Pelodiscus sinensis: one gene and its partners. The protein of the gene in region 1 purifies or fractionates together with the protein of each later gene. This does not show direct contact. Links are inferred from orthologs where the notes say so. Each region holds a gene or a part of one and is shown in the gene's direction. Other genes may lie near its edges.

The links.
Region 2: the proteins of SOD1 (region 1) and PRDX2 fractionate together in Homo sapiens (co-fractionation; 3 studies listed by BioGRID, with this or other methods). This does not show direct contact. The link is inferred for Pelodiscus sinensis from reciprocal best matches to the Homo sapiens genes SOD1 and PRDX2.
Region 3: the proteins of SOD1 (region 1) and TKT purify together in Homo sapiens (affinity purification with mass spectrometry; 3 studies listed by BioGRID, with this or other methods). This does not show direct contact. The link is inferred for Pelodiscus sinensis from reciprocal best matches to the Homo sapiens genes SOD1 and TKT.
Region 4: the proteins of SOD1 (region 1) and HEXB purify together in Homo sapiens (affinity purification with mass spectrometry; 3 studies listed by BioGRID and IntAct, with this or other methods). This does not show direct contact. The link is inferred for Pelodiscus sinensis from reciprocal best matches to the Homo sapiens genes SOD1 and HEXB.

Annotation. Positions count from the first base shown.
Region 1 is NC_134711.1:182,146,550-182,153,975, forward strand, and holds the start of SOD1 (superoxide dismutase [Cu-Zn]), read left to right. Parts: upstream 1-4,268; 5' UTR 4,269-4,352; coding exon 4,353-4,427; intron 4,428-7,426. UniProt on the Homo sapiens protein: Destroys radicals which are normally produced within the cells and which are toxic to biological systems.
Region 2 is NC_134729.1:13,226,095-13,234,116, forward strand, and holds the start of PRDX2 (peroxiredoxin-2), read left to right. Parts: upstream 1-4,861; 5' UTR 4,862-5,015; intron 5,016-5,850; 5' UTR 5,851-5,853; coding exon 5,854-5,956; intron 5,957-6,660; coding exon 6,661-6,814; intron 6,815-7,759; coding exon 7,760-7,882; intron 7,883-8,022. Other genes in the region: RNASEH2A (ribonuclease H2 subunit A), read right to left, coding at 421-544, 1,051-1,138, 1,501-1,638, 1,911-1,998, 2,269-2,395, 2,713-2,784, 3,329-3,455.
Region 3 is NC_134721.1:30,856,466-30,863,946, forward strand, and holds the start of TKT (transketolase), read left to right. Parts: upstream 1-4,382; 5' UTR 4,383-4,626; coding exon 4,627-4,733; intron 4,734-7,481. UniProt on the Homo sapiens protein: Catalyzes the transfer of a two-carbon ketol group from a ketose donor to an aldose acceptor, via a covalent intermediate with the cofactor thiamine pyrophosphate.
Region 4 is NC_134716.1:83,964,050-83,972,149, forward strand, and holds the start of HEXB (beta-hexosaminidase subunit beta), read left to right. Parts: upstream 1-4,964; 5' UTR 4,965-5,232; coding exon 5,233-5,507; intron 5,508-6,468; coding exon 6,469-6,620; intron 6,621-8,100. UniProt on the Homo sapiens protein: Hydrolyzes the non-reducing end N-acetyl-D-hexosamine and/or sulfated N-acetyl-D-hexosamine of glycoconjugates, such as the oligosaccharide moieties from proteins and neutral glycolipids, or from certain mucopolysaccharides.

The DNA of each region.
Region 1 (7,426 bases):
CAACCCGTGGCATGATTTTCCGCAAATGCTTTTAACGGAAAAGTTTTCCGTTAAAAGCATTTTTGGAACAGAGCGTCTAGATTGGCAGGACGCTTTTCCGCAAAAGCACTTTTTGCGGAAAAGCGTCCCTGGCTAATCTAGACACGCTTTTGCGCAAAAAAGCCCCGGTCGTCATTTTCGCGATCGGGGCTTTTTTGCGGAAAATAAATCTCAGCTGTCTACTCTGGCCCTTTTGCGCAAAAGCTTTGCACAAAAGGACTTTTGCCCGAATGGGAGCAGCATAGTATTTCCGCAAGAAGCACTGATTTCAGACAGTAGGAAGTCAGTGTTCTTGCGGAAATTCAAGCGGCCAGTGTAGACATCTGGCAAGTTTTTCCGCAAAAGCAGCTGCTTTTGCAGAAAAACTTGCCAGTCTAGACACAGCCCCGGGGTTTAGCAGGCCAATGCTCAAACCACTGAGCTATCCCTCCCCCCCTAACTTAAGTGTGGTTGCATATACATGCATATGTAACCCCCTTTTTCCTTCCCTGGATTACTCAGGAGCAGGTCACACTCACAGGTATGCCTGGGCACCTGATGGTTTTAACGTAAAAGGAGATCCTGAGTACCCTAGTGGTGATGTTGTTTAGTTGGGGAAACCCTATCCATCCCTTTGCTGCTGTCCCTTGCTCAGAAAGAACATATAATGGCAGTGCCTCCACCTGGCTGGCCCTATAACACACTGACTGGTGTGCCTTGGGAACCTCCAGGAATATACATATTCCAGCAATAAACTGGATCTAACTCCAGAACAACAATTACAAATCATAAATAATATACATCTAATAGATTTCATTAGAATAAACAACCTTTACTTAACTTAAAGAAACAGACTTTAACAAATTAACACTGAATAACATCAATTAACAAAGTACAACAGAGGTAAAAGGAAATTATCTAGCTGCCAATATTTATCCCACCCCAGTGTGCACACCCTTGGACTCAGAGTCCCAGACTTGCTTGCAAAAAGACCTGAAGCAAGGGGAAGCAATGCCTTTCCTGGGTTTTAATGCTCAACCTCTCCCCCCTCGCACTTAAAAGGGCCATGCTATTTTATTTTATTTATTTTGTTATTTTTTTGCTCAATAACTTTTGAGGTCTTTTTTTTTGCTCAACAACTTTGGTCTCCCCCTTCTCCCCCCCCCCTCCCCCCAGAATTTTTCCTCCATTGTTTCTTTTTGGGGGAAGGGAAGGGGATGTTGGGTATTTTTGGTTAAACCATCTGGCAACCCTACAAGGGCCTGACACCCCCATCAGGGTGTGGGAGGGACCAGCGCAGGGACCATCGGAGGTGCGTTCACACCCTTCACACACCCCCTGCATACAGGCCTATCAAGGCATGGGCATGGCCTGGCAGTGTGCAGCCAGCAGTTTGTGGCCTAGCACCAGTGCATGGACTGGCGGTTGGGAACCACTGCTCTAGGCAAACCAACTCCACGTGGGTAGTAACTAACAGCTCTGGGAGCCTCTTTACACTGACAAGTTACAGCCCTGTAACTTGTTGTGCTCTGGGTGTGTGTTTTTTCACACCCCTGAGTGAAAAACTTACAGCACAGTAATTTGCCAATGTAGACAAGCCCTCTGTCTCTGGTCCATGTGCTTCTGCAGAATTGGAAAGACTACCCCTCTTTTGTGATGTTTGCCTCACCTGTGAGCCCCTGTGCAGTAACAACATTATTCCGGCAGTTGGGAGACAAAGCAAAGTCACTGGCCTCAGGTTGTAGTATTGATGGCTTCTCAATGAGTTTGCAAATGCCTTTCCTGGGCAGGGCAACTATCTGGAATGCAGTACAAGTAACCTTAAACATGTGTTCACCTCATAATACAAAATGAAATTCATTATTTGATACAGCTATTTATTTCCCACTCTATCACAGTCATTAAAAGGTGGCCTTAGAAAAGGGAAAAAACAGACTTCTGGGCTTATGATGTAAAAATGTTTGTAAAATGAAGTGGAAACAAGGGTTTATCACGTTTTTAACAGTAGGAATTCAAGTCTTGCCTACCCTGGAAGATTTTATGGCAACATGAAATTGTGACATTACAAAACAGAGGGGACTGAAAGCTGAGTGAGACGAAGGCATTCTTAATCAGACTGTTTTATACTCTGTTTTTTAATTTGTTCTTGTTTACATTTATTTTCTTGTGTGTAAGAAGGTTACCCCATGTCATATTAAAAGCCCATGCAACGTCTGAGTTCTCCAAGGCAAGGCTTTAAGCCATAAGAGACATACTTGACAAGCAACTGATTAAGCTCCAAAATGAGGGATGCTAGTTCCGGTACTTTCCACTGACTGGCAAATTCCACTGGTTTGTGGTGTTAAATACAAAATTTTTTGGATGATTATAAAACACCATACATTCTGTATTAGTGAGGAAACAGGCCATATCTATCAGTTTCCTGGCAAGAAATATTTAGAAAAATGGTAATATGACATCCTCGCTCCCTTCTTTTCAGTGCCATTTACTTCACTGGGGCCAGGATTTTATCTATAGGCTATGTCTACACTGTGCATTGTTGTGCAACAAGATATGCAAATGAGGCGCGGTGATGAACGCGCCTCATTTGCATACCTAACGAGCTGCCATTTTTGCGCAAAGGGCTTTTGCGCAAGAGCCATTCTGCCTGCAAATAAGCGGCATATCTTCTTGCGCAAGAATGCACAATGTAGACGTAGCCCAAGCTACCATGCATATTGGAAAGTGCTCTTGTGATCTGCTTTCTATGGTGTTCATAAACCCTTTCCCCTACATTTCACAAATTCTGCAAGGATGTAGCTGGACTACTTTCTAGCATGCTCAATGTGTCCTGTGATATTCCGAGTGCATATTTATCACCCTCAATGCTTGCAGACATGAGACTGGAATAAGGACAGGCATAAGGATCTTGTGCAAAACGGGGTTTTTGTGCAAAAAAAAAAAAATCCACCCTGCTTCTTTTTGCACAAAACACTCTTGCACAAAAAGAAATGGCAGAAAATATGCTATGAGTCCCTCATTTGCAAATTTTCTGCCGGAAGAACTGGCAGTGTAGACTATCTGGGTAAGATGGAATAATGGGTCCCAAAGGTTCCATGAGAGTGAGAGATATATGTTAGCTGGGTTATTACTAAGGGTCCATTTTGGTCAATTTATTATCATAGGATTTTAAAAATAGTAAATTTTATTATTTCAGCCAGACGCAAAAAGGAGCTGTGGGGAGATTGCAAGGCCATTGTGTGCGTGTGGAGGTGCAGCACTGCAACCCTCACTCCGGCAGTGTTACAGGCAACAGTGTTGCCTTCAGAGATGGATGGCCACAGAAAGCAGCAGCTGTTGGACAGGAGCCTAGCTCTGAAGGCAGAGCTGCTGCTAGCAGCAGCACAGCAGTAAGGATGGCATGGTATGCTATTACCACTGTAACTGCTGTGTTGTTGTCTGCAGTTTGGCCCTCAGTTAGCAGACTTTGGTTTCCCCCTTAAAACTGGTGTAGCGTAAGGTAAAAGCCCACAAAAGACCAGCCCACAAAAGACCACCTTCTTCCTGGTCATAAATTAGGTAGGGCCTTAGTTATTAGTAAGTAGCTGAGCCTAGAAGCTGAGTGAAAAGTGCCCAGCTAATGACAATAATAAAATCCAGCTCTGCAGGGATATAAGGGCTTGAGTAGTGGCTGGCTGACTAGAAGGTTCAAATGAAGGAAGTAGCAGTATTTTGTTTTAGCCTTATCTAAGTGGAATCATTGAAATGTAGCCCCATCTCCACAGGCTGCTGGTGTGGAAAACCAGCACAGTGAAAAGGTATTATTTCATAAATGCTCCAAAATCAAGACTTTTTTAATGTAAGAAACACTGATCACCTGATAGTCTCCTTATAAAAGCTTCAGAAAGATCAGCTTGTGTGTTTTGCAAGGTCCCCCCATTTGTAACTTTGGAAGCTCACAGCCTTACACCCAGCAAAACACAGTAAAGACTAAGAACCCCAAAGGACAAGAGGGACAGACACTGAGGGCAGGATGGGGCTGGGCTATGCGGTAGGACATGCTCCCACAGCCCTGCCCCCGGATTGGTCTCGTCCGCTGCCTTTGCGGCGTGGCCCCACCCTCTCCAGGCAGAGTGAAGGTCGGTCACCCTCATGACTAGGAATGGGGGGGGCGATAGCGCTCCCTCTTCCGATTGGTGGGTTCGGGCGGCGGATTCGGTGGCCTGGATTGGCTGAGCCTCTCCCGAGGCGGGCAAATAGGCCGCGTTGTGATTGGCCACGCAGCGCGGGGCCGCTATAAAAGGCTCGGCGGGGTGCTTGCCGTGGGTGTGTGTGCGCGCAGCTGCGGCGAGAACATGGCGGCGGTGAAGGCCGTGTGCGTGCTGCAGGGGGAGGGCGCGGTGAAGGGCGTCATCAACTTCGAGCAGCAGGTCAGGCCGGGGAGGGGGTGTGGGCGGGGTCGGCCCCGCTGGGGAGGGGGAGGGGGAGGAGTCAGTCCCCCCGGTGGCAGCCCAGCGGCTCCCCCCCCCCCCCCCCCCGTGGCAGCTCAGCCCCGGGGTCTGGGGGAGCGGCTGGAAGTGCCGAGTCACGGCGGGCGGGGCCGGGCGCTGAGGTCGCTGCCGGGGGGGGGGGCTCGAGAGGCGCAGGCGGCGCTGCGGAGCCGGGCGGGCGGGGCGCGCTCCAGCTCCCGGCGCAGCAGCACGAGAGGCTGGTTCCAAAGTACAAATCCCGCCCGCTCCCCTCGAGCGGCGGCGGCAGGGAGCTCGGCTGGGGGGGGAAACGGTCTGGGAGCCTGGACTGCCCGGGTGGCAGGGCAGGGGGCTCCTTGGGTCGGGTCTCAGCTCCTCCACCCATGTGGCCAAGCCTGCCCCTCCAAATGGCTTTTTCAGGCGCCAGTCCCAGGCTGCTTGGGATCAGTGGGGACCGAGCCCAAGGTCTGCTCTGCCCTAGAGAGCTGAGCTGCTGGTGACCGCATTGACTAAAGCCCAAATGTGGGTGCTGGCTGGCTTACGGCTCGGCCCTGTTGTCACTAGCACTGGCATAATACATCCTGTGGCAGTGGTTCCCAAACTTTTTGGCATCACGCCCCCTTCTTGATTTTTGGGGAAAGGCTCAGGCCCCAGCAAAACTTGTTGAGCAAAAAAAGGAACTGACTGGGGCAGAAAAACTTTGGGGGGGGGGGGGGTCACCTCATGCACCATTGGAATTTCTTCATGCCCCCAGTTTGGGAACCCATGTCCTACAGGCTGCAATGGTCTGTCTTCTGGAAGACTTAGCAAAGTCTTCTGTGTATAAGGGACAGTGTTGGTAGGACTGACTCAGCTTGCCTGTGTACATAGTGGCAACAAAACAGCAATTGAACTTAAGCTTTTATGAAGCTGCTGGAGGGCTGTGTTCTTAACTAGCAATTGCACAAGTTGTGGATAGTTTAGAGCTGCTCTGACTGAAGTGTCTTCTGGGTTGAACTAAAGGTAACCTGGGAAAACTAAAGGTAACCTGGGAAAAGGTAATAGTAAATGAACATACACAAGGATTTTGTGTTGGTGAGTTTTACTTGTGTTGGTGAAGGCATGTGTTACCCATCAGTTTTACTCAAGTAGTAATATGCATAGCAGTAGTTCCTGGTAAAGGGAGGCAGCCACTTAAAACTGCATGACAAATGTAGTTTCATAACTGACATCTTAAGCTAAGAGACTTGTGGGAGGAGTGACTTTCATTGGCCCCACTTCTGTTGATGAGACTAGGTTTTAGACCACTTAGCTCTTCTGCAGGTCTGGGAATGGTGACAGCAAAATGCAAAGTGAAACAAATTGGTTAGTATTAGGTATGTGAAGGGTTAACTGGTGGGGGCTGCTCCAGCACATATGGGCTGATCCAGTCAGGGCCTAGCTAGAGCAGCCCTTTGCCTGTGGCATGGGGCTGCTCTGGCCTGGGTGTGCCACAGGTTGAGGTGGTGGAATAGCCTCCCGCCCACCTGTTTAATTGGTTAACCAGTTAACTAATTAAACAGGATTTTACTTCTCTAGTGAGCATACATTGTAAAGGACTATTTGTGGTGGTGTGCCCTGTTAATGCCACTGCATTCATTAGGCAAAAGTGAGAATGGGCTTTTCTGCTGTCTGTTCAGTCCATTATTTTTAAGGTTCACAAAGTAATGATTTTAAACTCCTAGGCTCACTTTTTGAAAATGTTCGGCAGGTTTAAAGCAGTTAAGCAGTAGTCAGTACCATGGAAAATCTCTATTGGACAGCATTCTCTGTAACTCTTGCCTTCAGTCATTACCAAATGTAGCACCTGGGTAGACCCTAAATTTGCCTGCAGATAGGCAGTTTAGTAAACTTCTGTCTAAAGAGGGATGGAAACAGAAGATGATACAAAGGTTGACATCTTTTACCTAACTCAAGAATAAACTGAGGCTAATTAAGATTACTTCTGTGCTAAGGATGAGGAAATCACAGTATTTATACTACAAGGTGAAGAGTTTAAAAATACCTTACTTCAATTTAAGGCATGAAATTGCACACACTCCCTTGAAGGCATGTGGCTCTTGACAAGGGTCTCAAAATATTGATGCCAAAATAACTTTCTTAATCCCACAGAATAATTACTGTTTGTTAAATAGCAGGGGTCAGTAACCTACAGTAGGTGTGACATGAGCCCATTTTGAATGGCATGCACAATAGGAACTTTCCTGGAAGTGGCTGGAGTCTTGTGGCTGCCATGCAGCTGCAGCACCAGCTTCCTGCTGGAAGGGCAAGGAGCAGGGAGGCAGGGGACTAGGGTGGCCCAGCAAGCAGAGCAGGTGGCATGACCTGTACTGGGCTCTGTCCTTGGAGCTGCCCCTGCACAGCCTGGGTGTGCAGCTCCCAGGAGCTAAGGAGTTAACTCCCTCTCACTACAGGCTCTGCTCTGGGACAGGGCTGGAGCTGCTCTGCAGATCTGAGGCTTGGGTGGCTGGTGACAAGCTGCTGCCACCTTTGTGGGATGGCAGGGTCCTGGCTGTGCTGCTCCTCGTGGGGTGTGTGCATGGGTGGGGTTCCCCTTCCCCAGTGCCCCACAGTGCCTACCTGGACTAGAACCTGCCCACAGGCTCTACCTGCCCTAGCCCCAGAGCAGCAGCCTTCATGTGAAAGGTGAGCCTTAGCAAAGGGCTGAGCCAGGCAGGGAAGTGACTCTCATCTACCCCCTCCCCACCCATGGGGGGTAGGAGGGATGAAGGAGAATGGGAGGGGATGAGGTATTGGGTCATCACGGTGCTATGAGGAGCAAAGCTGGAGCAGAGGGAAGATGTGAGGGGGATACAATTTTACTTAGCAGAAGCTGTGCTTTCCTTTACTCCCCATTTCTTTGCCTCCCTCCCCAACTAGCTGTGTGGCTGAGTTCTTACCCTCTCCCTTTCTGCATTACTTCCCCCAACCCCCCCCCCATC
Region 2 (8,022 bases), on another chromosome or scaffold:
CTGTGACCCTGCACAGGAAGCCAAAGAAATGGCAAAGGGAGGGGCCCAGAGTCCGAGGGGATGCAGCTGCCAAGGCCATGCTTGGGAAGGGACAGCACTGCATCGTGCTGCCCCCAATGCACCCCTGGGGCTCCCCCAGCCCACACATGGGGGTGGGAGGAGTCAGCTGGTCTCCAGAGGCAGAGGGGAAGGGGAGCTGAGCCAGTCTCACGCGTGCCAGGGGAGGAGGGCAGCAGGCCCAGGGGCATCGTGGAGGGTGTCAGGGCTATCGCTAGATGTCGGAGCCAGCTCCCCCGAGCCGCTACAGGCAGCGCCCGTGGGCCCTGGAGCTTGTTAGAGCCCATCACTGTTGCGGTGGGGGGGACCCAGTCGTGGGGGGCAGGGTCAGACTGAGGCCAGCCCCTCCCCTGCATCGCCTACCAGTGCACCGGCACCGCCTTGCTCTCCAGGATGGTCTGGGCCGTGCTCCAGCTGAAGCGCACAAACTGGGGGTACCCGAACACGGGGTCCAGGCACTGCGCCAGCCACTCCTTGGTCTTCGGGTCTGGGGGACAGGGAGAGATGAAAACAAGGGAGCCCCCAAAACCACCATTCACAGCTGCTTTCCCCACCCCCACCAACTGGCGGCGTTAGCTTTTCAGTCAGGACTCCTGGGTTCCGTCCCTGGCTCGGGGAGGAGAAGAGTCTAGTGGTTAGAGCCGGGGGCTGGGAGCCAGCAATCCTGGCTTCTCCGCCCAGTTTCATCACTGCCCTGCCCCATAACCTCAGCACCATGACCTTCGCCTGCGTCTCTGGAAGGCAAATCCAGGCTGATGCAGCCAAGGGGGTTTAAGGAAGGCTGTGGGGGAGGGGGGGCAGCACAGACCCCCTCCCCCTGCCCGTAAGAGGTGCAAGAGCCTGGACCCAGTGAAAGAAGGGAGCAGGTAACTCCTGGAGCTGGGTGGGAGACAGGGCGAGGGGGCGGGATATGGAGCCACATGGGCCGGCCAGGGTTTATCTTAAGCTCCACCCCGCGATCAGACGGATCCCTGCCCCTGAAGGGCCATTTACCATTGGGGTACCCAGACCCATACTCCAGGCTCACGTCCCCCAGATCCTCCAGGAACCGCCAGTTCTTCACAGCACGATCCCGCGCCACCTGCCAACGCAGACAGGCGGCGGCTCAGGGCAGCGCCTCGAGGAGCACTCTCTCCTGCCCCCAGCCCGCCCCTTTGCCAGGCTGTTCATTCAGGGACCCGTCACCCAGCCGTGAGATGCAGCCACCTCTGGGGAGGAGCGCAAGAGCTGTTGCGCCGCCGCACAGCGTTTGGGACAGGAAGTGAAGCTGAATCCCCGCATTAGTTCAACCAGTAGCACCCCAATAAGTGGATCTGGGGTGCCCCATATTTCACAGACCTGTCCCACCCAGGCCCAGTGCTCCGAGGAGGGCAGGAGGTCTGGCAACTCCAGCCCTCTCCTGAAGAGGGGGCCCACAACATAGAGAGGACCCCAAAACCTCACCTTGGCACAGATGCTGGCTGCACTGACGATGGGGAAGAGGGAATCAGCCTTCGGCCTCACGGTCACCTCCAGCTCCGGGAAGTGCCGCTTTAGCTTCTCCTGGTACTTCTCCGCCGGCCCCACCGTGTCCACAAAGACCTGCCGGGGTGGGGGGGACCCCATGAGAGTGGAAGCCAGGCCTATGGGCAACACACTGCTCTTCCCTCTCCCCCGCCCCACTAAACCTTGTGCTGGGACCAGGGCCCCACATGGGGAGGTGGCTGCCTCGTTGCTGCATAGAGAAACTGAGGCACAGGTGGCAGGAAGTGGGGGAGCAAGCGTCATGTCAGCGCTATGCCCACTGGCTAAGGCTGGCGATGGGATTGGGACACTTGGGGGGCAGACACCTGCCCCACGGGGACACTGCTCACCTCTGTCACCTGTACGCCCGCGTCCAGCACGTGCTGTATCAGCCCGATGGCCGTGTCGTGGGACAGGGCGTTGAGGTTGTATTTCGCCCTGGCCGGGAGAGCAGAGGGGTCAGTATCTGCTGGAGACCTGGGCCCCACCATGCCAGGCACCGCCTGGACATAGAGCAACCTCTTGGAGGCTCCACTTCCTCCCGGGACTCGGCTCGGAGGGTTAGCACAGGCAGGGACACGTGGCCTTTCAGCGCTGGCTGATTCAGCCCCAGGCGGGGGGCCTGACTGGCTAGGGGGGGCGGCTCAGGCAGAGGGGGAATGGGGGGGCTGGTGAGCCCATGCACACCTCCTTCCCCGGGGCTCTCACCGCTGCTGCATGCTGGTGGAGATGAGGTTGGGCGAGAGGATATGCAGGGCCCAGCCGATAAAGTCCCTGGCCCCGTCCAGCGTCCCAAACAGCTTCTCCCGCTCAGTCTCCGTCAGCGTCTTCGAGTCTGGGGGGTGGGGGAGAGGGGCACGACTGTCGGAAGCCTCGGCCTTCAGTGAGACCCTGGGGGGACCCACATGATCCAACATTCCCTCTCTGGGGCCCTTCCCCCCCAACAGTCCACTACCCCTGCCCCCACTCTCCCCCCCCCACCCCGAGATCCATACCCCAAGCCTCAGCTCTCCAGACCCTTCCCCCTCTCTCTGCCTCTGTGGTCAGGGCTGGAATCCCCCACCTAAGATCTCTCCCCACAGGGGGCATTCACAGGAAGCCAGGGTGCCCCCCAACTCTGCCTCCCATCCCCTGTGATGCTTTTGTCCTTACCTGCCATCTTCAGAGCTCCCAGCTCCTCCTGCTTGGCCAAGGGGCAGTAACAGACACCATAGACCATGGGACCTGGGAGGGAGACAGGGTCATGGGGGGAGGAGGAGACCAGCCCTACCCAGGCTATGGGGAGGGAGGTAATGGGGCAGGGCCCTTCTATCTCCCTGGGTGCTATTAATTCCCTGCCAGCTATGGGCTCCCCAGCTGGACCCACCTCCCCACCAGGGAGTAGGGACGGGGCGAAATCCTGGGATACCTTGTGCTCCAACCCCCATGGTCCCTCCCTCACTTTACAGGGGGCTACCCCCACCGCAGCAGGTAGGAAGGGGCCCTTCCCGATCACTCAGGATGGGCCCCTGCCCCCCATCTCTAGGCGACGCGGAAGAGGGACTCTGCTCTATACAATGCAGAGGGCTTCCCCACATGCAATATCGGGGGGGGTCTCCCAAGCCCCTCCCCCGTGCAACTCTGGGGGGGGGTCTCCCCTGCCCAGCCCCCACTGGTGTTTCCCAAGCCCCTCCCCCGTGCAACTCTGGGGGGGGGGTCTCCCCTGCCCAGCCCCCACTGGTGTTTCCCAAGCCCCTCCCCCGTGCAATCCTGGGGTCCCCCCCGGTACCTAGCACGGGCCCCCTGCCGGCCTCGTCGATGCCCAGGCAGCAGGGCCCGGCCTTGCACAGCTGGGGCACGGCGGACCCCAGACGGCAGCTGCCCGCATTGTCCCGCTCGAACTCCCCCAGCTCCATGTTCCGCGCGCCCGGCCCAGAGGGCGGGGCCGGCCTCGCACAGACCCCTGGGAGTTGTAGTTCTAAAACAGGGGACAGCACCATGCTTGAGCTGGGGGTGGGGGGGCAGGACTCCTGGGTTCTATCCGAATTCTAGAAGGGGAGTGAGGTCTAGCGGTTAGAGCAGGAGCTGGGGGCCAGAACTCTATTCCTGCCTGAGGGTAGGGGGGGTGTCGGGGCTCCTGGATACGTTTACACCAGATTAATTGAATTAATCACCCGTTGCTATTTTTAAGAGCAACCACTGATAGTTGGGGGGGCGGGGGCTTGAGCCCCACAGATTCTTATTAGGAGCTTCCAGAACAGTCCCTGAGATTGGCTCAGATTCCCTCGGAGGGGGAAGGCCTCATGTCACTCCCATTCCCACAGGGCTCACCAGTGCTTGTGTAGGGCACGGGGTGGCCTTTAGGAATGAGGGCTGCCGCAGTTAGGGGGCATCTGGGGAGGGCCATGGGGGAGTTATGTGGGCTCCGGGGCATGTGCATGGGTAAACTCTTGTGCAGCTCACAGGGCCATTCATAAAACCACAGCCTCACCCCCGGAACCACCCTAAAATTATGTCCTAATCCCCCCCTCCACCCACCCTTCCGAAGCCTAAGAGGCTCGGAATCATTGCACCAGTGGGGAAACTGAGGCACGGAGGCTGGGGGGTGAAACTCTCCGCCGCTCAGGCCAAGGGAATCAATATAAACGGACTCAGCAGAGCCACCAGGGATGAATAGACCCAGTCAGCCCAGAGCTTGGTGCTAGCCCCATAGGGGAGCCTCTCCGTCATGGGCTGTGGGATTCCAGAGCAGCATTAAGTAGCAGAGGGGTCGCCATGTTAGTCTGGATCTGCAAAAGCGGCGAAGAGTCCTGTGGCACCTTATAGACTAACAGATGGATTGGAGCGCAATCTTTCGTCAGATGCATGCATCTGATGAAGTGGGTCTTTGCCCACGAAAGCTTATGCACCAATCCATCTGTTAGTCTATAAGGTGCCACAGGACTCCTTGTCGCTTTTGCAGAGCAGCGTTGCAACCCCACCTTGCATGCACCGCAACGGGGAGTGTCTGCCCCCCCCCCCGTGCAATGCTGGGGGGGGGCATAGCCCTGTCCCCGCGTGCAATGCGGGGGGGGGGGCTCATAGCACTGTCCGCTCCCTCTATGCAATGCAGGGAGAGCCTCTAACCCCGCCCCCCTCTGGGCAACGCAGGGGCTCCCATAGCCCTGCCCCCCACGTGCAATGCGGGGATCCGTGGCTCCACGCCCCCCGCCTCCACGTGTCATGCGGGTGGTGGGTCCCCTTGGGCTGGGAGATCTAACTCTGCCCCACACCCCGGTCTCCATCTCTCAGTTCACCCCTTTCCTTTACCTCCCCCCCCCCCCGGCTCCAAATGGACCAGCCCAGCCCGGAGGGGAAGGGGCGTGGGAGGGGGCGGGGTGGCTATAAGACCCGGCTGCAGGCCGCAGGGGGCGAGCCGTGCACGCGCTGCGGGGGTAGGTGCTGGTGCATTGTGGGCGCGCGCGGGAAAGGACAAGGTGGGTGCCTCGCGCAGCCGGGCATGGGGGGGGCATTTCTGCAGCCGGGCTTGGCGCTGTAGGGTGCACGAGGCTGCGTGTTTGCAAAGGGGCCGCTCTAAAGCGGGGGGGGGGTTAAAGGCTGCCCCGGGAGCCCCTGCGTGCAGGGGGGGGGGTCCAGCTTGAAGTCTAAGCTCTGAGGCCTCTATCCCCGTGTGGGGGTTGTAATGCGGGGGGGGGGGGGCTTTTATCCTCTTCCCTCCAGTCGCTGCAGCCCCGGCTGCCGGCTTGCGCTTCCCACGCGGCTGCTCTTGCTGGTGCGCCCCGAGCTGGCTGCAGCCTCGCTCCATTGTCCCGCTCCCCCCCCCCCCCCCCCCCCCAGCGGCTCCATCCAGTTTGCCAGATCCTGGATGGGTTGGGTTGCAGGATTTTGGGATGAGAAGTGCTTTGTATGTGCAAAGTGCCACTCACCCACGGGTGGCTGATGGAGGGAGGGGGCAGGGTTCACAGCAACTCAGCTGTGCCTGTCTGGGCAGAAGGATGGCTCCTCTTCTGGGCTCTGCCGAAAGGTCCCACCCCAGGGGCTGCCAAGCTAGTGCAGGGTAATACGCTCTCCTCCCCCTGGGCCAGCATTCCTAGTGCCAAGCTAAAACAGCTGGTGTGATGAGCCATGGGTTGGGAGTGGGGAGGGCTTGAAGCTGGGATTGTCCACGCATTGAAACCGGAGCAGGGAGTGGGCTGGGAAATCCACCCTCTACCTGCTTGTCTGGTCCAGCTCGGAGCTGCCCCTCTGCAATGCTGCAGAGAACTGGGGGTCTCATCACAGCAGCCAGCCTGACCCCGGCTTCTCTCGCAGGACATGGCTTGCGGTAACGCTCACATCGGCAGACCCGCCCCAGGCTTCCGTGCCACTGCCGTGGTGGACGGGGCTTTCAAAGAGATCCAGCTCTCCGACTACAGAGGTGAGAGGAACCAGGCCAAGGGCTGTGCAGAGGCCCTGCTAATCCTGGGGTGCTGACCGAAGGCAGCGGGCGCCCCCCGGCCAGTGCTTCTCCCTTGCTCCCTGCTGCAGCTAGGTTACCTGGAAACGCTGCTTGCACAGGGTGGGGAATACTGGGGCACTCTGGTGCCAGAGGGTGGAATCTGCCAGCCTGGGGGGTTGTCGGGGTGTGGTCACAGCCATGACTTGGGTGCCCAGTTCAGCTCCAGCCCTGGGCGATGAGAACTGGATGATGGGTGACATGAGTTGGCTGGTTTTGGGACAGCCTGACTGGGTCCAGCCTCTCAGAGCAGCTGGGGACTGAAGAGGCCCCCATTTGAGGGTTGGGGGGTGTCCCTGTAGGGCAGGGTTAAGGCCCTGGGGGGGGGGGTGCCTGGGAGTTTTGTCCTTCCACTGCTGTGCAGGCCAGTGTGCTGCGCTGTCTCTTTAAAGAATAAATGGGGGCGGGGGGGGCTCCCTGGCCAACCAGGTCAGCTGGCATGTGATTGGTGCTTAGCCAATCCCAGCACCACTGGCTACAGGGTTCCCTCATCAGCTGGCTTGCAAACAAGGCCTCAGTCAATGTGACTGGCTCCCCCCAGACCCAAGCAGCATCTCGATCAGTGGCACCCCCTACCATTGCTACCCCCCACATTGACCTGTCCCCCTTCCCCCCCCCCCCCCCAGGCAAGTATGTGGTGCTGTTCTTCTACCCACTGGACTTCACCTTCGTCTGCCCCACCGAGATCATCGCCTTCAGCGAGCATGCCGAGGACTTCCGCCAGCTGCAGTGCCAGGTCCTGGGCGCCTCCGTGGACTCCCACTTCAGCCACCTGGCCTGGTGCGTGGCCAGGGCCCCTGGCTAGTGCCGCGAGTCTCTCTCCTTCCCAGGTGCCCTGGACTGGAGACGGAAGTGCCCTGGGATGGGTGAGGCCAGGGCAGGCTCCTGCCGGGTCGGCGCTATGGGGGCCTGGCACCGCTGGCTGGTGCCAAACCAGGCCCCCTGGTGCAATGGGGCTGTGAGATCTGGAGCGCAACCTATGTAGTTGAGACAGGGGTTCCCTTCACCTGCTTAACCAGGCCCCTCGGGCAGGGAAGGGTTGGAGGGATCAGAGCCCTGGGGGTTGGAACTGCCCCTCCCGGCCTGTTCCAGAGCCTCCTAAACCATCCGACGGTGTCGTGCTCCCTGGCCCGACGGGGGCAGGGTACGTCCCTCCTTGGCTGTGAAGTGCTGGGCTAGAATCCAGCAGCCGTTACCCGCTGTCCTAGAGGGGCGGGGTCCTGCTGGCTTTATCTGGGGTGGCCTCTGAGAGCATCCTTATCACCCCTCGCCAGTGGGGTCGGCCGGAGACGGGCCCGTGATGGGGGTGGGGAGTGGCTGGCTAATCTGGCATGTGCCTGCCCTGGTGGCAGGGAATGACCCATGTGCAGTGTGGGGGTTTACCAGCCTGTGCGCCCCCCATCTGAGCACTGTTTCAGGTCCTCAGATCTTGTCTAACATGGATGTGTCCGCTCCAAGCCTTGGGGGGTGGGGGGGGCGGGTGTCCCTAATGTGAGCAGCTGCCCCCAAGCTGCCGATGCTGTGAGTCTGGCCCATGGCTGGAAAAGGGCCGGGTGACGTCTGCTCTGTGGCCCCAAGACAGCACCCCTGGGGTCAGGCAGCTCATTCCCTGGGGTGCCTCTAGTGGGGAGCTGGGTCAGATCTAAACTTGGGGGAGAATTGGGGGCGCAGGGATGTGGCTAGGCTTGGAGGGAGCATGAGACTAACCCCCTTGTCTCCTGGTAGGATCAACACCCCCCGGAAGGACGGGGGGCTGGGTGCCATCAACTTCCCCCTGCTGTCAGATCTCACCCACAGCATGGCCACCGACTACGGGGTGCTGAAAGAGGACGAGGGGATCGCCTACAGGTCTGGGGCGGGGGCAGGGTGACTGGCAGCACTTGTGCATGAGCTGCTGGGGGCGGGGGGGGGGGATGGACTAATACTGTCACTCCACCCCCATGGCCAGCACAAGGTGGAGGTGTCTGGTGAGCGGGACACTGACCTGG
Region 3 (7,481 bases), on another chromosome or scaffold:
CGAGATAGCGTCCACACTGAATGGATGCTATCTTTCAAAAAAGCAGATTGCTTTTTTGATGCGCTTTTGCAGTGTGAATGCTTTCTTTCAGGAGAAGTTTTTCCGGAAGATCTCTTCCAGAAAAGCTTCTTCCAAAAGAAGCCTGCAGTCTAGACATAGGCTAACTCTGCTACTCCTCCAAAGTTAAGTGAGTTTACTAGGAAATACTTAAAGGGGAGAAGAAATGCAAACTCCCACCTTGGGAGCAGAAGCTATGTCCTGAAGAGAGAGCCCATTATCTGGTTCATTGCCTATTCACAATCTCTACAGAGCAAACACCCAGATTGTGTCAAGGAAAGGCTACCTATCTGACACAAATCAGACATAAAAAATGATAACTCAAAAACTTATAACGGAACATTTTAACTTTCCTGAGCACCCAATCATGGATTTAAAAGTAGCCATTCTTTTACAAAGGAATTTCACCACACCATTACAGAGGGAGAGTGCAGAATTGGTATTAATCTGCAAATTTGACACTGATTCACTGGGCTTGAACTAGGGATGTAAGTGGGTAGTAGATTAGTCAACTACCCGATAAGCCTATCAGAGACAGGCAATGTGGGGAGCCGGCTTAAAATCCAGTTCCCCTCCAGCTCCGTCTCTGTGGGGGATGGGAGGGACACGGGACGCAGAGGCACAGTGAGGAAATAGCATGAGCGGGGACTCAAGCAATCCCCACTCCTCCTGTGTTTCCTGTTGCTCTTCTGCCTTTTAAATGTAGTAAGAGCCACGAGCAGCTCTTACTACATTGAAAAGGTAGGGCACTGTTGGAATAGCAAGCGCAACTAATCGAGTTGTTGATGGAAACTAAATTGATTACTCAAGTAGCTAATTAATCGAAATTTAACATCCTTAGCTCAAACTAACCTAGCATTAACTAAGTCGCCTCTGCTTTTAACACCTCATTGTTACATCAAAGGCTAAATATGGGACACACCTAGCCCACTTAATTAGCCTCATTAGCAGCGGTCCTACAATTAACAGATACCTTTTTTCTGTTATTTTTGTTTAGTCTCTTAGGTGCCATAGAACTACTCGTTGTTTTTAAAGTTACAGACTAACACGACTAGCCCTGTGAGACGTTCTATGCAAAGGTGCTATTGTTTTAAGCAAAAGGTGTAATACACTTGTAACCATATGGACTCTGTCTAGACTGGACAGTTTTTCCGGAAAAACTTGCCAGCTGTCTACACTGGCCACTTGAATTTCTGCAAAAGCACTGATGATCTCATGTAAGATTGTCAGTGTTCTTGCGGAAATACTATGCTGCTCCTGTTCGGGCAAAAGTCCTTTTGCGCAAAAGGGCCAGTGTAGACAGCCCAGATGTGTTTTCTGCAAAAAAGCCCCGATCGTGAAAATGGCGATTGGGGCTTTTTTGCAGAAAAGCGCGTGTAGATTGGCACGGACACTTTTCCGCAAAAAGTGCTTTTGTGGAAAAGTGTCTGTGCCAATCTAGACACTCTGTTCCGAAAATGCTTTTAATGGAAAACTTTTCCGTTAAAAGCATTTCCAGAAAATCATGCCAGTCTAGACATAGCCATCGGGTCTGAAGGACTGACTCCTACCACAGCTCTTTTGGGAGGTGGGATGATCTCTGATAAACTTATTAGTCTGTACGTTGGTCCCTTTCTTATTTTTTTGTGCAACGTTTTCACCTTACAAATGAACCTGTCTATTTTAGTGATAGAAATGTAGCCATGTTAGTCTGGTGTAGCTGAAACAAAATCCAGGACTATGTAGCACTTTAAAGACTAACAAGATGGTTTATTAGATGATGAGCTTTCGTGGGCCAGACCCACTTCCTCAGATCAAATAGTGGAAGAAAATAGTCACAACCATATATACTAAAGGATACAATTAAAAAAAAAGTGAACACATATGAAAAGGACAAATCACATTTCAGAAAGGGTACAGGGAGGGGGGGAGGAAGGTAAATGTCTGTGTGCTAATGGTATTAGAGGTGATAATTGGGGAAGCTATCTTTGTAATGGTTAAGGTAGTTGGTGTCTTTGTTGAGCCCAACACGTAGAGTGTCGAATCTTAGCATGAATGACAGTTCAGAGGATTCCCTTTCAAGTGCAGAAAGGACATTGTCTCAATGACTTAATTACCTGCATCCTACTCCAGAAGCCTTTCAAATCTGCACTTGAAAGGGAATCCTCTGAACTGTCATTCATGCTAAGATTCGACACTCTACGTGTTGGGCTCAACAAAGACACCAACTACCTTACCCATTACAAAGATAGCTTCCCCAATTATCACCTCTAATACCATTAGCTCACAGACATTTACCTTCCTTCCCCCCCCCCCCCCGCCTGCATCCCCCTTCTGTTCTGAAATGTGATGTGAGGAAGTGGGTCTGGCCCATGAAAGCTCATCATCTAATAAACCATCTTGTTAGTCTTTAAAGTGCTACATTGTCCTGTATTTTGTCTATTTTAGAAATGCTGTATAGTACCCTATAACTGTGAATACTTATCTTGTTCATAGTCTCTGAGGGGGAAACAAAGCAGGCCTCAAGAGGCAGTCTGACTTTCCGGGAAATTCAGTGTCTTTGGGGAACTCTGCAGCCTTGTAAAAAAAAAAAAAAACCTCTCAGTAATGAGGGAGAGAAACATGAATTGTGACTAGGGGAGCCACCATGTAGTCGACTACAGGCAGTCCCCGGGTTACGTACAAGATAGGGACTGTAGGTTTGTTCTTAAGTTGAATTTGTACGTAAGTCGGAACTGGCATCCAGATTCAGCCGCTGCTGAAACTGACCAGCGGCTGACTATAGCAAAGCCGCGGAGGACCCGGGCGGCGGGACTGCGGCGCGTCTGGGCGGTCCCGCCGCGGCTTTGCTCCGCATCTCCCTGGTCTGCTGGGGGCCCCCCCAAGCAGACCAGGAAGACGCGGAGCAGCTTTTCTCGCCCCGGAGGACGCGAGCGGCGGGACCGCGGCACGTCTGGGCGGTCCTGCCGCCCGCGTCCTCCGGGGCAAGAAAAGCCCTGTTCGTAAGTACGGATCCGACATAAGTCAGATCCGCGTAACCCGGGGACCGCCTGTACATGATTAACCAATAAGCCTAGGCAGCAAGGGGCGAGCAGGAGCCAGTGCCTGTGAGCAACCGGTTTAAAAGCTGGCTCCCCCCAGTGCCAGATCCACCTGCCCCCCTGACCCTCACGCTGCTGTCTCTGATAGAGAGGCAGAGGGTGAGGCGGTAGGCTGGAGCTGATATATGCAGGAAGCCAGATTTCAAGTAGGATCTCTACATGTATCAGCTCTGCAGACCCACCTTCTCTCTTCCCCTCCCCTGCCCACTCCCTCCTACAGAGGTGGGGGGAGGCAGGCAGGAGCCACTGCTGGGGGGAGCCAGTTTAAAAGCCCCCCCGGGCTGGAGCTGTGGCAGGCAGCTTGCACCATGTGCCAGAGCTGGGGCCAACAAGGCCCTAATTGGACAGTATCCTTTCCCTGGCTAGGATGATGAGGCAGGCCCTGAGGAGCAGCCCCCATGTGGCCTCAGGAAGGGCTGATGGTGGTCCCCCATCTTCTTCCGTGGCATGGATAGGAGGGGAGGCCATGATCCAGCTGTGTCAATCCTGGCCCAGCCCCTCATCTAGCCATTGCTGCCTGGGTGCAGCAGCCCAGCCCCATCCAGGCAAGGTAATCCAATCCCAGGGTTCTCTGCACATACTCTCCTTCCCACCCCCTAGCCCTGCCTCCTGCAACTCCCACACATCCCAGTCCCCTGCCCTGAGCCCCTCATACACATCAATCCTGATTCCTGCACCCCTACATCCCTTGTGCCAGTGACCCCAACACTCTCTGTCCCTGGGGACCAACCGGTTAAGTAGTAGTTCTGCAGAAAAGGACCTGGGGGTTACAGTGGATGAGAAGCTCGATATGAGTCAACAGGGGGCCCTTGTAGCCAAGAAGGCTAATGGCATATTAGGTTGCATTAAGAGGAGCATTGCCAGCAGATCCAGAGATGTCATCATTCCCCTTTATTTGGCTTTGGTGAGGCTGATTTTCCGGAAAAACTAGCCAGTCTAGACACGGCCATAGAGTAGAATGATGAAAGATCAGCTTTATCTAACGGTAAGAGGATGCCGGTTCTGCAATCCTACCCCTGTAGGGCTCCTTGGCTGGGGAAAGGCTGCAGATCTGCTGCGCCATCCCTGCCTTGTTGCGCTGCACGTGCCGTAACGAGCCGTGTCTCGCACGTGCTTGGTTTACAGCCTTGGCACAGCGCATTGAAACGCAGCCACAGTCAGTGGAAAGCAGCTTCTGTTCCCGGGGGGGGGGGGTCTAACTGGGGGGAGATCCTTTGCTCGTAGCCTGGGACTTCCTGCGGCGCTGCCGCCTAATTCCCGCCGCTACACCCCTCACCCAACCCCTTAATCCCGAGCGCCAGGCCCTAATCCCCATGGCAATCCCACCCCGTGCCCGGCCGCCGACCCGCTAATCCCAGCGGCAGCTCGGGCTGGCCCCGCCTGTGGGTGGCCCCACGGCGGCCTGGGTGTGTCTCGCTGGAGCCGGCAGGCGGCGCGGACGGTCCCTCACTCTGCTCCTAGGCCAGGCCCCGCGCTCTCCCGCCGCACCATGGAGGCTTATCACAAACCCGACCAGCAGGCTCTGCAGGCCCTGAAGGACGCGGCCAACCGGCTGCGCATCAGCTCCATCCGGGCCACCACCGCCGCCGGCTCCGGGTGAGTCCGGGGCTCCGGCCTGGCGCCGGCACCCGCCCCACAGAGCCCCGCGCTCCTCGCCTGCCTCCCGCGCCCCCCCTCGTGCGGCCTGGCACCCCCCCCACAGAGCCCCGTGCTCCTCGGCCGCCTCCTGCGCCCCCCCTCGTGCGGCCGGGCACCCCCCCCACAGAGCCCCGTGCTCCTCGGCCGCCTCCTGCGCCCCCCTCGTGCGGCCGGGCACCCGCCCCACAGAGCCCTGTGCTCCTCGGCCGCCTCCTGCGCCCCCCCTCGTGTGGCCGGGCACCCGCCCCACAGATCCCCGCGATTCTCGGCCGCCTCCAGCGCCCCCCTCGTGCGGCCGGGCATCCGCCCCACAGATTCTCGCATCTCTACTCCTCCCCCATGAGGCCTGGCAGCCGCCCCCCCCACGCTGCTTACTTTTCTCTTGTGCCCCCCTCCTGCGGCCGGGCACCAGCCCCACAGATTCTCACGCTGCACGCCCGCCTCCCGCACCCCCTTTGTGTGGCCTGCTCCTAGCTCTGCTTTCTTTGCAGCCTCCCCCCATCAACCCCTCCGTGCAGGCTGCCCTTCTGCAGTCCCCCTCTCACTGCCTCCTCGTGCAGCCTGTCCCCTGCTTATCCTCTATCACTACCTCCAATCTTAGGCCTTCCGTGTAATTCTTCCCAGACCCCCCTTCCTTCTGCCCAGTCCAGTGGCCTCCACCTGCCCCTTGTGTTAGTCCTACAACCTCGCTTTTTCCTCTGTCCTCCCACTTTCCCAATTTGCAGGTCACTTGGCTAGTGAAATGAAGTGGCCCAGATACTGCCCTCGGCTGTGGCTACACTGTCCAATACAGTTACTGGTTTTGAGTTCAATGGGGTCTTACTGGAGTAACTGAAAGCAGAATTTGCCCCTAGATTTCATTTTTACTGAGTTTTAAAATCTGCAGCAGGTGACTGCTGAACCATATGTAGGGAGTTTGTCTGCAGTGCTGCACGGTGTTTCTGGGAGCAAATGCACAGTATGGGATGGGCTGATTTGAGAGAATTTTCAGTATTAGGAAATCTGGAGTTTTGAAGAAGTACAGTAGTTGCATTTCCCAAAACTTGAAATGAGCAAAGGTTGAATCACTGTCCCTTTTAATGTGAACTCCTTGGTGCAGTTCAGTGAAGCCCTTCTGTAGAGAATTTGATGTGGAACCATTTTTTGCACAAATAAAAAGATACAGCTACTAAACAATTTGGGGTAGTATGTATGTATATATGGGTGGGAATATATGTTTAGACAGTGTTTAATTTGGCACTGTCAACACACTTTGCAGTTCATAGCCCTAGTACCTCAGGACTGCTGTTTGAGTAAAGTTCAGTGGAGTCCATTTTTGCATGGAGGGTTGTGTACTGTATTGGGGTGTATGCAAAGGTTTAGAAGCAAGCTATGTGGGGGAATGGATGCTTATATATGGGGTATGGTTTAGAGGCAAGCTATGTGGGGGAATGGATGTTTATAAAAGGGGTATATATGGAGTGTATGTGTGAGATAAGAGCAGTGATAAAAATCCTTCATGTTGGAGAGTTTGTTTAAAAACTAGTCAGTTTAAAGATAAGATAGATAACTGTTAAACATCAGGGCTGAACCTTCCTTCTCAGTGTCCTACCTGTGTGACTTTGGGTATATGTTCATGAAAGGGGGGATGGATTCCTTTGTGTGCAGGGGAGGGGCGGAGCAGACAGTGATTTGCATTTTGTCTTTCTGGAACATTGCTTCTTTTACTCATGTATTTATTAGCTTTGATGATGCAAGATTGGACAGGATTCAGGTTGAGAAAGCGTGCACTTAACATTTTGACAGCTTAATTATGACCCTTTTGGGGAAATTTGATTGTTAACAAAGTGTGTATAGGTTCACTGTACTAGTAAATATACTATGACTGGAAAGAAAGAAAGAAAGAAAGCAGGAATGCTGAATTAATCTCAGAACTAAAGAATTTATGCCTAGGGCCAAACCTTTTCATTTTGTGCCTCTCAGTTGGAACTAATTCTCTACAGAATTTCAAGTTAGCCCAAATGGGATTATCTGCAAAATGCCTGCATCTCAAATGGGCAGTTTATTAAGGCCTCTGGATGGGGTTTAGTACCAATTCCAGAGTTAGCCTTGCTTTGATAATGTTGTATGTATGGAAAAATAGTATCCATGTTTGTTTATACAAAATTAAAGCCAGAGTTTTGGCTGAACATCACACTTCAGCTTTTCATTGTAGAATGCTGACTCTGAATTCTTTTTTGCAATTTATATTTTATTTACTCCTTTGAAAGATGGTTTGTAAATGCATCTTTTCAAACAGAAGAATTGGACAAGTAGTCCCGTGGATACTAAGGCCTTAATAGGAAAGACTAGTCTACAACAAAATATTTTAAATCTGTCCAATTTACTAACATCTTAATTGTGTTTCTGGCATAAGAAATTTTTTACATTTTGTTTCTGTGTGTTGTATTGAAAGTTGATAGTTCTCTTTTGCTTTTTGTCGCTCCATATACACTGTGGCTACGTCTACACTGGCAGCTTCTTGCCCAAGAACTCTTTTGCGGAAGAGTTCCTGTGTAAAAACTCTTCCACAAGAGAGCATCTACACTGGCATGTGCTTTTGCGCAAGAGCATCCATGCCAATGTAGACGCTCTCTTGTGCAAGAAAGCTCTGATGGCCATTTTAACCATAGGGGCTTCTTGTGCAAGAAATGCATGTTGCCTGTCTACACCGGCCTCTTCTGGAAG
Region 4 (8,100 bases), on another chromosome or scaffold:
CAGGGGGCCTTCTTTAATATGTCTCCCAGTGGTGTCATTTGAGAAAAACTCAGGAGGAGAGGGAGAAAGTTGTGTCAGGGTATAGAACATTATATGTGATTATATCGCATCCTGAAAACTCATAGGGAGGAGGAACAAAAATGACACCCCTGATGTCTCACCACCCACACACCCCATTAGCCATTCCCACACTTCTCCAAATAACTTCCTTTTACCTCTAAAAAGTTAAAATAACCACAGCACTCACATACTACACACATCACTAACATGCACTACAGCACAAAACCTCAATGCTGACCTTAGCCAAAGTACATGGACATGTCACATGTGTGCTGGCAATTTCTAGTACTCTTAAGGGAGATTTGAGGATGCAGTTTGTTGTTTTGAATCACTGGTGTGGCTGTCTTTCTCCTACTCATGCTTACCTGGTTATAATGGAGCTTTTGTTTGTGGGAATCTCACCAGATACAAGATTCAATAACATAAAGAAGGCGGACCCTGTTTATGGACTTTTTACATATGTCTACCTGGCCAGTTATTTATACCACACTCATCACAGTTCCTGACTTCTCTGATAATTGCTTTTAAAAGTAGGCAACTTTTGACAGTATGGATTTAAGATCCATTTAAATAGAGTGACCAGATTTTCCTATGCTGAATATGGGACACCTGGTAAAACTGTTTGCATTCAGGTGAGTTCAATGCCAATCAATCAGAACTATGCAGTATAAATGTTCAAATTAATATCAAGTTGACCGGGCCCCTGTTAAAAAGAAATACTGCCTAGCTAGCTGTACTCTTTTTAGATCCTTTCTTATCTTTGAGGTTTGCATGGAGCTAGCGCTTGCGCTCTCTCTCTCTCTCTCTCTCTCACACTCACACACACACACTCAGGTACACCTCTCACAAACAGATATGGAAGTGACTGGCCAACGTGACCCACCCTTTCCTACCCAGTGCTCTCCAATGCCTGGCTGGGTCCCTGGAAAGGACCCATGTCTCCTGGCACCTGATCTTCTCAAGGCAACATGTGTGGGGTATGCAGGGTCACATGACCCCTCTGCAAATATCTGTTGGGGTTCACACCAGAACATGGCAAGCAGCAGCCTTTCCATACTGTGCAGGAGGGAAGGGTTGAGATCTGCTTCCAGTGAAATAGGGGTGGGGGTGGAGGTAGGGATGACCTGGCCCATGTTTTTCCAGAGGTCATCTGTCCCCTACCATCCCCCGCCTTCCTATCGCCAGAAGCAGCTTGTCCCTTCCTGCCTGCAGTGTAGAAAGGCAGCTCACATCTCCAACCTGCTGCTGGCCACCAACACAACCTCGCCACCTCCTGTTCCCTGGCTAAAGCCCAGGCAGGAAGGAGTTAAGCCCCAAGGATGCATGGAGCACCAGAGCCCAGGAAACCGGACTGCAGGAGCTTCAGCCAACCTGGCCAGAACTGGTGGCTCAGCTTGGGAGGGTGCATAAGGGACAGTGCAGCCCAGCACTCCGTGGGGATGAGACAGACCTAGGACAGTGAGCAGCATGTGAAGAGGGTGTGGAGCACCTCTCTCTGGGGACCAGGGCAGGACAGAGGCATGGGCGAGCCGGGCAGCTGCCCAGGGCGCCAACCGATGGGGGGCACCTGATGGCAACTGTAAGGGGCACGTGGCTTCCCTTACAGCTGCCATCAGGTGCCGCGTGCCCGGCTCCTGCAGTGCTGGCCCACCCGCACCTCCGCGGTGCCGGCCAGCAGCGCCCTTCCCCCCACGGCCATGGGGCCCTACACAGCCCGGTGCGCACACCAGCAGCGACAGCCGGGCTGGACTGGGCCGCGCTTGTGCCATGCACCCCGGGGCCGGGCCCACACTCCCTAGGAGGGCGGGCCCGCTCCCCAGGGGCGGACCTGTGCATGTGCCGTGCGCCCTGGGGCGGCGCCGCACACCCGTGCCCGGAGCGCCAGAATGCCTCGGGCCGGCCCTGCTGGGGACATGCAGAGTTCGGTCATAAACAGGCTGGAAATAGGCTCTGGAGTGGTGGGGAGGAAGCTAACTGAGAGGTGGAGAAGCTTTCTGCCACTCCATGTGGGGCTTTGGCACATGCAGGGCTTGGTTCTTCCAGGCCAGTGCCCTGGGACAGAGAGCTTGAGCTCTCCCTGGGTGCTAGCCATGGAAAAGCTAGCCAGGCAGGACCCAGTCTCACCTACAGCCCCATCCCCTCCACTGAGGCCCTGCCCCCACCATGGGGAGGAGAGGAGGTGGGGAAGTGCACCGAACACACACGTGCCCTCCCACCATCACAAGAAGGGGAAGAGCATGCATGCCCCAGCCTCCCCGGAGCACCAGGGAGGGAGGAGGCTGCGTAGCCCGAGCTGGCCCACGCCCTCCCCAGATCCCAGAGCCTGGGGAGGGAGGGTGGCATGCTTCCCCAGCTTCCCTGGTCTGGATCAGCGCGGAGGGCAGGTGCTGGGGGTAGCAACACTCCGACCCCAGAATGCCTACAGCAGGCATTCTGGGGGCAGAGTGTGGGCAGGGCCATGCCTGGTTGTTTGGTAAGGCAAAGCCTTCCCCTGCCTAGGCTACCAGACGCCCATAGTCCCAGTGCAACCAGAGGCAGCTGGGGAAGGAAGGAGCCTGCCAGACAGGCTGTTAGTGAGCTGAATAATTTGACTGTGGCTGATTCTCCACATAGGTCATAGCACTATGAGTGGGACGCCCCCTGCTGGGGGAATTTGGAGAAGAAGGGGGCTGGGGAGGAGGGTGAATGGGCACAGCAGGGAGAGGATAGTGAGAGGGAAAACATGTAAAGAGGAGCTGGGTGGGCAGCACAGGTGATATGTAACCAGCCACTGCTTACCCATGCTCACCATCCACTGCAGCCACCAGCCAGTGCTGGCTGGAAATGGGTAAGGGTGTGCATGGGAGAACCTGCTAGCCAAGAGTGGGCACATAGCAGAGTATGCACTGATGGACTAGCCAGGGGAGCAGCCAGCCCCACACACTGCATCATCTCCTACAGCATGCCCCCAGCTGGCCCCTTCACACAGGTAGAGTGCCCCAGCTGGCTCTTGCTGGAGCACAGCCAGTTCTTACTGGAGTGACGCACCAGGGTGCACTGCCTTACTTTTACCTCTGCTGAGAAGTGACTTCATTGACATATCTAAGTGCCTTCCTAGAGAGAAAATGTCAGATATTAAAAAGCTGTTCAGTGTGGCAGAAAAAGACAGAACAAGACCAGTGGCTGGAAGGTGAAAACAGACAAATTCATCTTACAAATAGGGCACAAATTCTTCACGCTGAGAATTCACCATTGGAACAAACTACCAAAGCAAGTGACAGATCCTCCATTTCTTGATGTCTTCTAATGAATACTAGATGCCTTTGTAGTGTGTGCTTGAATAAAAACATAGCAACCATGATTTACAGAAGGGCTGGGATATCAGGGGTCAGATTCAGGGCTGGCCTTACCATGAGGCAAACTGAGGTGGCTGCCTCAGGTGCCAGAGTGTGTGTGTGTGTGGAAGAGGGAGCACCATTAGGACCCAGAGTGTAGAAAATTGTGTCTGCTGCTGGTGCAGCAAGGAGGCATGAGGGCATCATTTGAGCTCCCCGCCTCAGGTGCCAAAAATGTTGTGGGCCAGCCCTGGTCAGATTTGATGCTTTAATGGTCCCTTCTGACCTTAAAAGTCAACTGGAAAATGAAAAACCGAGTGTGGCATAGGGAGCAGCCTCTCAGGCTTCACTGTACATCCAGTTTCATCCCCAGACTCAGCCGTCATGAAGCGTGATGATCCAGGGGAAGCCAGTCAAACATTCAAAGAGGCTGCCAAGGTCAGGACACCAGCCTTACAAGGGAAGGTGAGTGTGGCAGTGACATCACAAAGGCCTCTTGCAAGACCTCAGCCTATTAGGGGACACTAGTGGGGAGGGACCCTGACAACAGCCAGGCAGGACAGAGGTGAAAGGCAGGGGCAACCTCAAAGACTCCCATGGCTTTGCAGCAGCAGGGCTCCTTCTCAAGGGCTCTCCCTGGGGACTGAGAGAGAATTAGGATTAATGTATGTGAGCATGAGGAAAAACCTTGTTGGAGTTTTCTCCTTTCTTACAACTGATTTTATAGCCCCTGTTTAGAAGGTAAGCGCCTCAGAGAGGTTTGGAACCTGGTGGCTACGTCTAGACTGGCATGATTTTCCGCAAATGCTTTTAATGGAAAACTTTTCTGTTAAAAGCATTTGCATAAAAGTGTCTAGATTGGCATGGACGCTTTTCCGCAAAAAGCACTTTTTGTGGAAAAGCGTCCATGCCAATCTAGACGCGCTTTTGCACAAAAAAGCCCCGATTGCCATTCTCACGATTGGGGCTTTTTTGTACAAAACAAATCTGAGCTGTCTACACTGGCCCTATTGCGCAAAAGCTTTTGCACAAAACAACTTTTGCCCGAACGGGAGCAGCATAGTATTTCCGCAAGAACCACTGATTTCAGACAGTAGGAAGTCAGTGTTCTTGCGGAAATTCAAACGGCCAGTATAGACAACTGGCAAGTTTCTCCACAAAAGCAGCCGTCCCGAGTCCCCTGTTGACGCCAGTCTCCATGCTGCGCTGCTGCTTTGAAAAGCGCGAGAGCCCCCACCAGGACTTCCCGCTGACCCCATGCAGCACACAAAGTTCTGCACTCCTCCTTTGAAATGTTCGAGAGTCACACGAGGGGCTCCAGTACATTTCAAAGGAGGCATGCAGAAGTGCCTATTGGACTAGTCATCCTCATTACTCCAGCTGCGATGAAATGAGAGTCACTTGCTGCTGCAGCAGGGTAACCAGATCCACCAACTTCTCCCATTCACTTGGTCCAGGCTTTGCTCAAGTGTACTGGAGAGGAGGGTTTCCTCTTTAAAGGGCAAGAAAAGGGGGCGGGCAGAGAAGAGTCCGACCCCAGGAACTCAGGCATTTCGCTTTCCAAGGCGGGGTGTGGCACTCACGCCCAGGAGAATTATTAACACAACCCCACCAGAGGCAGCAGCCCAGCGCGCTGACCCGACACGTGGCGGGCGTCCCGGTCGAGGCAACGCGCGGCGCCTGAGAGTTTGGGGGAAGGAGGAATCGGCCCTTGTAACAGCATCACGGGGAAGCCGCGCCCGCGCCAGCCCCATAGGCAGGGAGCCCGGCTCCGCCTCGCTGCCTCGTGACGGGTCGGAGGCGGGGCCCGGGGATCGATTGAGCCCGCCCGCGCTCATCGCAAAGGCAGCACCGAGCCATGGAGCCCGCCTGCCTGTTCCTGGCGCTTCTGTGCGCCCCCGCCGCGCTGGCCGCCTCCAGCCTGCACCAGCGCCCCCCGCTGCCCGAGCCCCTGCTGCAGGAGGAGCCGCTGGAGCCGGGCGAGTCCCCCTCCGGCTCCCTCTGGCCTCTACCCCGCTCGCTCAGCATCCTGCCTCGCCAGCTCCAGCTGGCCCCCAGCCGCTTCCAGCTGGTGCACGGCCCGGGCTCCACGGCGGGGCCCGGCTGCGCCCTCCTGCAGGACGCCTTCCGCAGGTGAGGGGCGCGGCCGGCACTTGCCATCCGGGCGGGGTCGGCGGAGCCGGGGGCTTGTTCCGTAGCCCGCCCGGCCCCGCTCAGCTGAGGGGGGGCGCTCTCTGTGCGGGGTTGAAAAGCAGAGGGCGACTTCCCCTTTCTCCTAGGCGCAACCGCATCGGAGGGGAGAGGCAGCTGGACTTTGAGCCTCTGCGGACGGGCTCCTGATTGGTTTTATAACTAGCTGCTCATTGGTGGGTGGCCCTGGTTCCTAGGGTTGTTAGCAGGTACACGACTATTCAGTAATCCCCACAGGTGAGCCTGGCAGCCTGTGAGCTCTGGCCCCAGGAGCCCGTCTCATCCCAAGTTGCTGCCTCTGTCAGGGACAGCAGCAGGAGAGGGGAGCTGAAAGTCAGACTGTGAGGGGAGGCAGTTTAAAAAGAGAGGCAGCAGTGTGAGGTGGCAGCATCCCTTGTCCCAGGGGTGGTGGCCTGAGCTCCCTACAGACAGAGACTGCTGTGCGGCAACAGCCCCTGTCCATAGGGAGCTCAGACCCCCACGGATAGGCGCTGCTGCAGAGCAGTCTCTGTCTGCAGGGAGCCTGGGCCTACTCCCACTCCCACCCCCAGCACCTGCTCCTGCCTGCCTCTCCCCGACCTCTGTAGGGAGGAGCAGGCAGGTGTGCAAAGCCAGCTCCCACCTGCCTCCTTGATCCTCCTACTGCTGTGTCTGTATCAGAGGCAGCAAAAGGGGGGAAGCAGATTGAGTGCTACTGCTTTCCCCCACCTTGCTGCTTCTGATACTGAGGGGGAAGCCTGGGCTTATGGATTAATCATGTAGTTGTCTACATGTTGACATCCCTAGTGATTCCCTGAACAGAATTTCCCTAGCTCCATTGCACAGAATGTGGGGACCAAGGGTGGGGTAGAGAGCCCACTACTCACTTCAAAGCTTCCTTTTTTGGTTTTGCTTCTTTGTGCAGATATTATGATTACATCTTTGGTTATTCCCAATGGCAAAATCGGGGTCAAAGGCCGCTTCATGCTGGAACAGAGTTATTGCAGCTTCAAGTCATAATTAGCTCCAAAGATTCTGAGTGTGACAATTATCCCAACATCACGTCTAATGAGGCCTGTGAGTATCTGACAGGATATGAACTATGGATAGCAGGGGAGTGAAGGAAAAAGTCCATTACAATCATACATTCCAGCTTTCTAGAGATCTGCTTTTTCCTTCCACAGCTGTAAGTTTAAGTTCCACTCAATTTCCTCACTGGCACTTGTTTTCCAAGCACACATATCATTGGAATGTAACAGTCAGCAACTTATCTAAAGGTGGATTACAAATGATACTGAGTAACAATAGGTTCACTTAAGGAATAAAAAGATCTTGCGAACCTCACGGTTGCAGCAGCTTGACACTGATTGCTGCTTTATAGCCTGATGAGTTTTTATCTTGTCTTAGAAGATAAATTGGTCAGTCACTTCTTCAGTTTACATTCCAGATAAACAGGTTAAATGGTGGAAGTCTTACACTTTGTCTAAGCTTTTCCATGCTTGAGGCAGCGCATAGGATACAGCACTGCATCGCAGTGAAAGGCAGGCTGTATCTGTGGTCACTGCGAAAGCTTCAGCTGTCAGAACTTTTCCCCACTGCCAGACCCTTTTAGCACTTCTGCAGTGTTTCCTGATGGCAGGGTGAAACTCAGACAGCATGGAAGTAATAGGATGCTACCACAGCATAGATACAGGAAACAATCATAGAATCCTAGAATACTAGGACTGGAAGGGACCTCGAGAGGTCATCGAGTCCAGTCCCCTGCCCCCATGGCAGGACCGAATACTGTTTAGACCATCCCTGATAGACATTTATCTAACCTACTCTTAAATATCTCCAGAGATGGGGATTCCACAACCTCCCTGGGCAATTTAGTCCAGTGTTTAACCACCCTGACAATTAGGAACTTTTTCCTAATGTCCAACCTAAACCTCCCTTGCTGCAGTTTAAGCCCATTGCTTTGGTCCATAAAGCACCATGTATGGTATACACCCTAGGACTCAGGAAAGCAGAGTGCTATATGCACCTAAGCCGTAACTCATGGGCTGCCCTGCTATTTATACCTTTACCAGTGGGGTGTTCATTGTAAAGGCTGCTTAAGTGTGGACATTCCACTTATGATAGTGTTAGATCCTGTAGTAACTAATAGGGACGTTAAATATCGGTTAATGAAATGTCCATTAACCTATAAGAATTCATGAGGTCAATCAACTATTCTGTAGTCCACTCCCAAGGAGGCCCCTGCCACTCAGCGCTGCTGCCTCTGTACCAGCTTCCCTTGCAGACCGGCTGCCTGTAGCCCTGCGCTGCTGACTCTGACACAGAGGCAGCAGTGTAGGGTGGCAGCAGCCTCTGTCCAGGGGAAGGAGTCAGAGTTCCCAGCCTCGATGAGAGCTGGAACAGAGCCAGGCTACTTGCCCACCTGGCTCCTAATTCTCTTGAAATGCAGAGCTGTAGCAGGGATCAGTCCCAGACCTGGCACAAGCTGGGCGTGAGCTGGGCTGCTGGCCAGCCTGCCAAAAAAATGTACTTGCGGGGGTGAGAAATGCATGTAGTC